Linked DNA regions of Callithrix jacchus. The protein of the gene in region 1 interacts with the protein of each later gene in a pairwise test. Links are inferred from orthologs where the notes say so. Each region holds a gene or a part of one and is shown on either strand. Other genes may lie near its edges.

Evidence for each region.
Region 2: the proteins of PRKAR2B (region 1) and TAF12 interact in binary tests that used the Homo sapiens proteins (3 or more experiments, as listed by UniProt). The two-hybrid records come from large-scale screens. The link is inferred for Callithrix jacchus from reciprocal best matches to the Homo sapiens genes PRKAR2B and TAF12.

What each region holds. Positions count from the first base shown.
Region 1 is NC_133512.1:77,494,826-77,500,504, forward strand, and holds the start of PRKAR2B (cAMP-dependent protein kinase type II-beta regulatory subunit), read left to right. Parts: upstream 1-1,975; 5' UTR 1,976-2,212; coding exon 2,213-2,519; intron 2,520-5,679. UniProt on the Homo sapiens protein: Regulatory subunit of the cAMP-dependent protein kinases involved in cAMP signaling in cells. Type II regulatory chains mediate membrane association by binding to anchoring proteins, including the MAP2 kinase.
Region 2 is NC_133508.1:65,289,170-65,294,104, reverse strand, and holds part of TAF12 (transcription initiation factor TFIID subunit 12), read left to right. Parts: intron 1-1,116; 5' UTR 1,117-1,129; coding exon 1,130-1,201; intron 1,202-3,007; coding exon 3,008-3,259; intron 3,260-4,935. UniProt on the Homo sapiens protein: The TFIID basal transcription factor complex plays a major role in the initiation of RNA polymerase II (Pol II)-dependent transcription.

The DNA of each region.
Region 1 (5,679 bases):
TCTTAAGCTATTGCATTTTGCATTTTCTGCGACATGTGAGCAATGCTAATCATAATTAATACAAATATTATCACAAATGAAGACAAGTGATACACATGCATCTTAGGTTACCAGATCCATAAAAATAATAATGCTTACATGGTGGAAAGTAGTACTAACATTGTGCTCCAAGCAGTGACATGTGAGGCTCACCGTATTTTTTTTTTTTTGAGATGAAGTTTAGCTTTTGTTGCCCAGGCTGGAGTGCAATGCCCCGATCTCGGCTTACTGCAACCTCCACCTCCCGGATTCAAGCGATTCTCCTGCCTCAGCTGACCGGCTAAATTCATATTTTGAGTATAGACAGGGTTTCTCCATGTTGGTCAGGCTGGTCTCCAACTCCTGACCTCAGGTGATCTGCCCGCTTTGGCCTCCCAAAGTGCTGGGATTACAGGTTTGAGCCACCACTCTCACCATATTTTATAAAAGTTTAATTCTTAAAATGTTTGACACAGCCGGGCTCGATGGCTCAAGCCTGTAATCCCAGCACTTTGGGAGGCTGAGGCAGGTGGACCACGAGGTCAAGAGATCGAGACCAACCTGGTCAAAATGGTGAAACCCCCCCATCTCTACTAAAAATACAAAAAAAATTAGCTGGGCATGGTGGCGCGTGCCTGTAATCCCAGCTTCTCAGGAGGCTGAGGCAGGAGAATTGCCTGAACCCAGGAGGCGGAGGTTGTGGTGAGCCGAGATTGCGCTATTGCACTCCAGCCTGGGTAACAAGAGCGAAACTCCGTCTCAAAAAAAGAAAAAAAAAAAAAAAAGTTTGACCCAATTAGAAGTTCTTTATTACTATATATTTAAAAACAACATTATTACTATGAAGTTGATAAGAAATGAAAATAGAGAAATACAGTGGCTCATGGAGTGAATATAGGGTGCATCATTAACAAAAGGTTAACATCAAGATCCATTTTTACCAAAGGGCCTAGTTTGTTACAGCTCTGATTTCTAGTCCCCAGTCATGTGTTTACTCTTCCGTGGGTGGGAAGATAAATCTGAATAAGCAAGCGAGCTTGCTTTTAAACTATTTTATTTACAATGATATGGTAATTGTAAAAAATGAAGTATGCGTACTTAAATAATATTTAATTGACAAAAGTCAATTCTTTCTACTTCAAAATTGTAAACATTTGCAAAGTGAGCCTAATTTCAAAGTGAAAAACTTCTACTTTAAAAGCACACATTCGTCATTCTATTTTCCTTGATACCGAAGTGTTTCAATTTTTGGAGATGAAGTCAAAATCACTCAAAGTATAAAGTTTTAAAATAATCAGCGCCTCACCCAGCACTATCCTATTTGAAGGAGATCGACTAATTTCGATAGGTGCCTCACAATAAATGGTGCCTTTGTCTCAGTAAATAGTAAATGCATGGAGTGCACAACGAAATAGCATCAGTAAGGCAAAAAGATAATAAACAGGATGGGTGAGGAAAGGCTGGATAAAATGTGGTGGAAGAAAAAGAAAGACGTCACAAAGATGGGGTAGCATTTCTTTGTCCAAAAGAGAACCAGTACCACCATAAGCCTTCAAACAAAGGACATTAACAACACTTATCATGCAGCTAGATTCTAAAAGGAAAATAAAATGCCACTACTAAGGTGGAGGCTGAAGTTTCACGACAAATCGCTTGGCACCAGCTTTGCGTGGGAAGCGGGGCGAGTGGCTAGCAAGCTCCCGGACACGCGGACAGGTGGACACCGAGGCGGCCTCGCGAGGGCTCCCCTCCCAGCCCTCGGCGCGCCGCCCGCCAGCGCATTCCACCCTGGCGCGGTCAGAACCGCGGGTGCGCGGCGCCTGCCGGCGGAGGTTGCCATGGTTTCCGGGGGTCACGTGGGCGCGCTCTCCCGCGCCCCCTCCCGCGCGCCGCGGTGGGGCGGGGGCGGGGCGACCGGGCGGGGGAGAGGCGCGGTCGCGGCGGGACCGGGAGGAGCAGGAGATGCTGCCAGCCTTCCCGGGGCCGCGCTCGCTCAGCCGCCGCCGCCACACGGAGCAGCCGCGCGCCAGGAGCCGCGGGCCGGGCCAGCCGGGCCGCCGGGGCCCAGTGCGCCGCGCTCGCAGCCGGTAGCGCCGCCAGCGCCGTTGGTACTCGTTAGGCAGCCGCTGGGCCCCAGGCCGGGCCGGGGAGGGGGCGAGGGCGGCGCCCGGGCGCCTGCCGCCGGGGAAGCAGGATGAGCATCGAGATTCCGGCGGGACTGACGGAGCTGCTGCAGGGCTTCACGGTAGAGGTGCTGAGGCACCAGCCCGCGGACCTGCTAGAGTTCGCGCTGCAGCACTTCACGCGCCTGCAGCAGGAGAACGAGCGCAAAGGCACCGCGCGCTTCAGCCATGAGGGCAGGACCTGGGGGGACACGGGCGCCGCTGCCGGGGGCGGCACCCCCAGCAAGGGGGTCAACTTCGCCGAGGAGCCCATGCACTCCGACTCCGAGGACGGGGAGGAGGAGGAGGCGGCGCCCGCAGACGCAGGGGCGTTCAATGGTGAGGACCGGACCCTCTCCGCGCCCACGGACCCCCTCACTGTCCCCTACCGCTCCCCACTGTGCTCTCGGATCCTGCTGCTTTGCGCACCCACCTCTCCACGCATTCGCCACCTTTTCCTACCTTCCCATCTCGCCCACCCCCTCAGCATCCATTTCTGTCTCTCCCAGTCGCCCACCTTCCTACTCTGCTCCCTTGTCATACCCTCTTCCCTTCCTCTGGAGGTGGGAGAGCTGGGAGGTTACGCTTTCCTCTGCCCTTCTGCCCCCTCTGCCTGGGCCGGTTGGGGTGGGCATCTGCTAGAAAGACAACTTTCGCTGTGGTTGGAGGTATTTCGCTTGGAGGATACCATCATTGTGCATAAAGAAACTGGCCCACTTGGCGTCTTCTTTCAGCTCTTGTATTAATGGAATGTCAAAAGAGAAAAGGCGAACGGTGTTTAATGTGACTGGCTTTACTGTTAGGACGGTAGATCATTGAAAGAGGCTTGAAATTGGACTCACTGGGGCAGAACAAAATTTATGGCCAATAGCTCTGACATCCTTAGATAAGAGTTGTCTGTTATTTTCCAATTTACCAATACCATGTTGTGTTATTTTTGGACATGTAACAAAGGATCCTATTAGTCTGAAACCCACGGGGGTCTTTGGAACGAGGAAACAGGTTAATTGTTTGCTTTTTATATAAAGAACATATTGAATTATTTGGTGCTTTATTTTTTTTTAAAGCGTATGAGAAAAAAAACAGTGTAGGAAGTTCTGAAGCCTTGTTGATTGTCTTTAGAATGAAAAGCCAGTGAGTAATTGTAAGGACTGTGCCAGACAGTAGAGCTAGAAAGAATGAATGGGAAAGAAAAAGGAATTTTCTCAAATAGCTGCTCCTGGCAAGTCCCACCCCTTTTGCTTACAACCTTCTTTCCCTAACACACCCAGACACACACCCTCATTTACAGCCCCCCTGTATTTACACAACATGCCCAAATCCCATTTTTATGGCAACCCAAGCTAAAATACCATGGAGTGCAATGTGCAAGTGTTTTCTCTTTGTGGTGTAAGGCAAACATGCATGCACCATTGCACCAGCTTTTATTTATTTACACTGCTTGTGGTTTGTGTGTCCGCAGTGTATTTCATAAAATGAAAACCTTTAAAAGTGTCATTTCATTCCCTTGTGTATGCTCCTAGGAAGATGTTTCTTTTCTTTGCGGGATTGCATGTTGAAATGGTTTATAAAATTAAGGTGTTTTTAGCTTGTCTAAATCTCAGAAACCCTGGAAATTAATGTTGCATGAAGATAAAAGTGAAACTTGTTACTTACAATTTTAATTTTGGACTTTTAAATGTTTCCCCAAGGGGATAATCATAGTCTTAATTGTTTTTGCACAAGAATCAAATCAAATGATTTTCTTACCAGAAACAAGAGAAAGATGAAAGAATGCATGTTTTAAATAGATAGGAAATAGCAGCCAGTAACGGATTACAGAAAGGGCAGAGGTATCTAATACTTCTTTTATGCTCTGGATGCATGCACACATGTTCATGCACACACACCAAGGGGAAAAAAAAGACTCTTTTCCCAGAAGAAAACTAGGAACTAAGGGACTTGGTAAAGATCTTATATATATTCTGTATGATATGTTGTTAATATAATCAGACTCTTTTGTTTGTATAAGAAATTTGAAGTACTTTCCTTTGATGATTCCATTTTCTTATTAAAATAATATATTGTGCGCAGAAGAGATTTAATGTTCATTTTGTAGTGAAGAAATAAGCTGTTAACTTCTGAACAGCAGGGATCATTTTATAGTCTCCAAGCCACCTTTACTGTAAAAATTGCTCAATGTGACTTAAACAAGTTAACCTTGTTAAACAATTGCTCTATTTACTCCCCAGCCTCAGCCCCAAGGACTTTAAAACTTTTTGACTGCAAACAGATAGGATTTGATCATTATCCCTGTGGCACATATATGTGTACAACTGAAACTTTGGCAATAGTACGGGTACTCCTTATGTCAGATGCAGTGCTTTTTGATATTTCCTATTTGAATCAATTATTTCTATTTTAAATTGTGTTGAGACCTGACTTTGAAAAGCATTTAATTATAGGCTACAAAGTGGTTGGCAAGTCTTTCCTGTAAAGGTCGGATAGTAAATGTTATAGACTTTGTGGGCAATGTATGGTCTTGATCAACTACTAATACTTCTTCCTTTCTTCTTTCTTTTCTTTTTTTTTTTTTTCAAACACATACACTTTCTGAGGGTTGGAGTTGTACAAAACTAGCTGCAGATCAAGGCCATAGCTTGCCGACCTCTGGTCGGAAGAAAAAAAGTCAAAATAGTACCGTACCATTCGGGGGAAAAAACTGGAGTGAGCCCAAAGATTATGAGCCTGTTAGTTTGACGTCTATGTCCAGAAATGTGCCACATTGCAAAAAACCCCAGATAATGGGCAATTATGACATAGTAAAGAATAAGGATTGGAAAACAAGTCTTAATTTACTATGATACAATACAAGACCTGCTGGGTCAATAATTCTGAAATTTTCATAGGCATCTCAAGAAGTTTGATTCAGAAATGACCGTAACTCTGTACCATTTTCAGAGAGCTTTTTTGAATAGGTTGAGATGGGACATGGAATCCTTTTTTTCCCCCTCAATAGACATCCAGGTCATTCTGATATCAGTAGTTCCATGACTATACTTTGGAAAACATTTCCAGGTAGTGATAATATTATCTTCTTATTAACAATGAAAACATAATTGTCATTAGTTGACGTTTGCTGTGTGCTGTCTGAATGCTTTATTTTTTTAATCTCAGCTTTATGAGAAAGATAAGGCCGTCACTTGCCCGGTGTTTCACAGCTAGTGTGCTGCAAAATCAAGATTGGGACATAGGTGGACCTGGTTTCATCCCTGTGCTCTTGATTACCAGATTATATCTCCAGATGGGGCTGGGGCTACTATAACCTGAGTATCCCTTATATATCAAGCTCTATTTAGGATCCTTAATGTGTTTTATTGCTAAGACTCCAAACATTAACTTGTCCAAGGTCACACATAAAACAACTAGGTAGTGGAGCCTGATTTCTTAGTCTTATCTGTCTAACCTTGAAGCCCAGGATCATAAGGGAGTTCTTAAATGGAATTTGTTCTGTGGGCTG
Region 2 (4,935 bases), on another chromosome or scaffold:
AGCCTAGTCTATCTTTTTTTTTTTTTAAAAAAAACTAGTACATACTTAGTTGCTTTTATTGAGAGTAAACCAGGAGAACATGATTTCTTATATTATTATTATTATTATTTTTGACAGTCTCGCTCTGTCGCTCAGGCTGGAGTGCAGTGGCCTGATCTCAGATCACTGCAAACTCTACCTCCTGAGTTCAAGCGATTCTCTTGCGTCAGCCTTCCAAGTAGCTGGGATTAAAGGCACTTGCCACCAAGCCTGGCTATTGGCTAGTTTTTGTATTTTTAGTAGATACCAGGTGTCAACATGTTGTCCAGGTTGGTCTCAAACTCCTAACCTCAAGTGATTTGCTTGCCTTGACCTCCCGCAGAGCTGGGATTACAGGCGTGAGGCACTGGACCAGGCCAGATTTCTCATATTAGAAAGTCAGACAGTGTGTTGAGGAAGAACTCAGCACTAGGGAAAAGAGTAGAATAGATACAGATAGACATTTATGTTGCCAACAAAGCCATTGACATAACCTCTGCAGGTTCATATCCCACAATTTTGCCCAATAAAATAGTCCATATGCTGTTAGCTTTTCCCTGACAGCAGACATTCATTTCATAAGAAGATGGTCTAGGCTGGGTGCAGTGGCTCACACCTGTAATTTCAGCACTTTGAAGGCCAAGGTGGGTGGATTACGAGGTCAAGAGATTGAGACCATCCTGGTCAACATAGTGAAACCCCATATCTAATAAAAATACAAAAATTAGCTGGGCTTGGTGGTGTGTGCCTGTAGTCCCAGCTACTTGGGAGGCTGAGGCAGGAGAATTGCTTGATCCCAGGAGGTGGAGGTTGCAGTGAACTGAGAACGCGCCACTGTACTCCAGCCTGGTGACAGAGCGAGACTCTGTCTAAAAAAAAACGAAGATGGTCTATATATGCCATAATCATCATTAATTAATTTTCAAAGTTGCTTATAAAAGAGGTGGAGATGTTTATCTTGGCTTCCACTAAGGAAAAGGAGATATATTTTTCCACATCCAGTTTGCTTGGATCCTGGTTGGTAAAGAGGTACCAGGCCATGCAACTAAAATGATTCCATGGCAAGGATATTGCTTGATGCTAGTTGTTCATTTACAGGTAGCTTTTGAAAATGGCTGCCTCTCATTTCACCGGGCTCACAGCTGTTGCTGATGTAATTAAAGATCTAGACACTCAGATAGCTGTAAGTAGGTTTGAGGCTACTGTGGGCAAAACTTGGTGAATGTGCTTCTGATTGTCATGACCCCCAAGCTGACGTCCACAGAGTAAACCTCATGGCTCTAAGATTCAGGAGTCTCAGCTGCTTCAGGCTAGGGTGTCTGCATGTACTTAGATTGCTAACACTCCGAGAAAAATTGCTGTTGACAAAAAGGAGTTTACTTTTAACAACAGCTAAAATTTATGTTTTTGGGGCATACCCCCGACATAAACTTAAGCATGTTTGAAATGCCAAAATGAACTAGTCTGTATTGTTAAGCTTTGTGACTGATTTTTTTAAAGGATGTGATTGTGCCATGACTTATTTGAATTTAACATTATTTGATACTTTAAAAATAATGCATGTAGTACTTAACTATTTTTACAAAGTTCTCAAAAATGTCTTGCTTATTCTAGTTTATTTTTATTTTATTTTATTTTATTTCATTTTATTTTTAGACAATGTCTCACTCTGTCACCTAGGCTGGAGTGCAGTGGTGGTATGATCACAGCTCATTGCAGCCTCAGCTTCTTGGATTCAGGCAATCCTCCTCCCTTAGCCTCCCGAGTAGCTAGGACTACATGCTAAGTGAGTCCAGTTAAGTGGGATTTTTTTTTTTTTTGAGATGGAGTTTCACTCTTGTTGCCTAGGCTGGAGTGCAATTGTGCAATCTCAGTTCAACGCACCCTCTGCCTTCCAAGTTCAAGCAGTTCTCCTGACTCAGCCTCTCAAGTAGCTGGGATTACACATGCCACCATACCTGGCTAATTTTGTATTTTTAGTAGAGACAGGTTTTCTTCATGTTGGCCAGGCTGGTCTTGAACTCCCAGCCTCAGGTGATCTGCCTGCCTGGGCCTCCCAAAGTGCTGGGATTATAGGTGTGAGCCACCATGCCCGGCCCCTAAATGGTTTTTTGTTTGGTTTGTTTGTTTGTTTGCTGAGACAGAGTCTCATTCTGTTGCCCACGCTGGAATACAGTGGCATGATCTTGGCTTACTGCAAGCTCTGTCTCCCATGTTCAAATGATTCTCCTGCCTCAGCCTTCCCAGTAGCTGGGAGGGATTACAGGAGTGTGCCACCATGCCCAGCCAATTTTTTTGTATTTTTGGTAGAGATAGGGTTTCACCATGTTGGTCAGGCTCATCTCGAACTCCTGACCTCAGTTAATCCACCCGCTTTGGTCTCCCAAGGTGCTGGGATAATAGGCGTGAGCCACCACGCCCAGCCCCAGCTAAGTTTTTGCAGATAGGGCTTCCCTATGTTGCCCAGGCTATTCTGTAACTCCTGGACTCAAGTGATCCACTACAGGCACCCAAAATGCTGGGATTACAATGAGCTACTGCACCCAACCCTAGTTTATTTTTGTACGTAAGATTCCTTATTTCATTTACTTTCTTCCTTGTTTCAATTTTGTGGTCAATTTTATTTAACATTTAGAGAAGAGATGGTTTCTAAATGTCAGGTGAAAGCAAAAACCATTCTTCATTCCCTCAATTTTTAACATGTAGGTATTAAATGGTCACCATTCCATATATACTGAAGAACTCTCAAAGTCTAACAGACCTGATTTTACTTGCTTTTTTTTTTTTTTTTTTTTTTGGTAGAGATGAGGTCTCACTATGTTGCCCAGGCTGGTCTTGAACTACTGGCCTCAAGTGATCTGCCCACCTGGCCCTCCCAAAGTGCTGGGATTACAGTTGTGAACCATTGCACCAGGCCTCTTTTTACTCTCAAGACTCATTCTTTATTACAGGTTCTTCTAGAACTAATTCTTATGCTTTTCTTCTTCAGTTAATTGGCCTTGGTCCTCACAGCTCCAAAAAGAAACAGGATCTCGATAAGCTCTATGAGCTGAAGTCCAAAGCTCGGCAGATTATGAACCAGTTTGGCCCCTCAGCCCTAATCAACCTCTCCAATTTCTCATCCATAAAACCGGAACCAGCCAGCACCCCTCCACAAGGCTCCATGGCCAATAGTACTACAGTGGTAAAGATACCAGGCACTCCTGGGACAGGAGGTCGTCTTAGCCCTGAAAACAATCAGGTATCATCCTCTTACTCTTTCTTCCCTGTAGCCACCTCTCACCTGTTATTTCAACCTGTAATACTTAAGAGATGTCCATCTTATATGCTGCCTTTTTCTCTTAGCCGAAAAGGTCTTTTCCGTCTTACGGATTTCTAAGTTTTTTGTTTGTTTGTTTTTTTTAAGGCTAGTCATGTTTGTTTGTTTTAATGTAAGTAGAGACTATATTTGGGCCAAATTTGAGGACCCCAACTCAGGAGACACAGATTCAGTTTGCCCTGAATATATGATCCTCTAACATTCTTTAGCAAATTATCATGTACAGTGTTTATCAAGTTTTACTGTGTTGTATATTGTTGTGTGTATGCATGTATCCATCCATCCATGCCTGTGGTAGGTTTTTTCTTTCATTTTGATAGGTGTTTTATATATATGTTAACTATATAGTTGTTAAATAAAATAATTAATTCATTTTTCCTATGATGGAAATACTCTTGGTTCTAGCCATTCCACCTTCTAGTTCATCCAATTCCTGCCATTATTAATTTTCTGCAGTGATTCTAAAATCTGCTCCCTTCTTTCTACCCATAATTCTGATTTTGCCTCCAGAGCCACAAGAAATAAGTATAATCTCTTTGAATTGGGTTTTGTAGGCTGTGAAGAAAAAAATGAATGAGTTGGCCCAGTATTTCAAGGGAATGAGTGAAGGAACTGGCAAAGGTTAATGAGGGATGGTTGGGCAGACAATCAGGAGATCAGTCTCTTTTGAATATGGAGTCTGTTATAGAAGACAGAATTTAAAATTGTATAGGTAGCGAGGCGTGGTGGCTCAAGCTTGTAATCCCAGCACTTTGGGAGGCCGAGGCGGGCGGATCACCTGAGGTTGTGTGTTCTAACCAACATGAAGATCAAGACTATCCTGGCCAACATGGTGAAACTCCATCTCTACTAAAAATACAAAATTACCTGGGCGTGGTGGCTCATGCCTGTATTCCCAGCTACTTGGGAAGCTGAGGCAGGAAAATTGCTTCAGCCTGGGAGGTGGAGGTTGCCATGAGCTGAGATCGCAACATTGCACTTCGGCCTGGGCAGCAAGAGAGAAATTCCACCTCAAAAAAAAAATATTGTCTAGGTAGGGTTATGGCAGAACATAGTGACCCTGTACTAGTAAGTTTCCATTGGAACTTTCAGGTAATATACAATCTTTGCAGATATTTAATAAAGAAGTAAAAGTATGTAATAAAAATAGTGTATTCTATAGAGTAGTAACTTGGCAGTAAGGGGACAGGATGGGTAGAAAAGGGGGTTAGACTGGGTGGATGACCAATTCTAAGACTTTTTCAATAAATCAAGACATGTAGTGAAGGCTTGAATTAGGTGATTAGGATAGAATGAAGAAGAATAGATAGATATGAGACATCATTAACTTTTATTTATTTTTTAGAGAAAGGGTTTTGCTCTGTTGCCCAGGCTAGAGTGCAATGGTATAATCATAGCTCACTATAGCCTCAAATTTCTGGGTTCAAGCAATCTTCCCACCTCAGTCTCCTGAGTAGCTAGAACCATAGGCATGCACCATCATGCTTGGTTAATTTTTTTTTTTTTTTTTGGAGAGACAAGGTCTTGCTGTGTTGCCCAGGCTGGCCTCAAGTGATCTTCCCTCCTCTGCCTCCCAAAGTGCTGGGATTACAGATGTG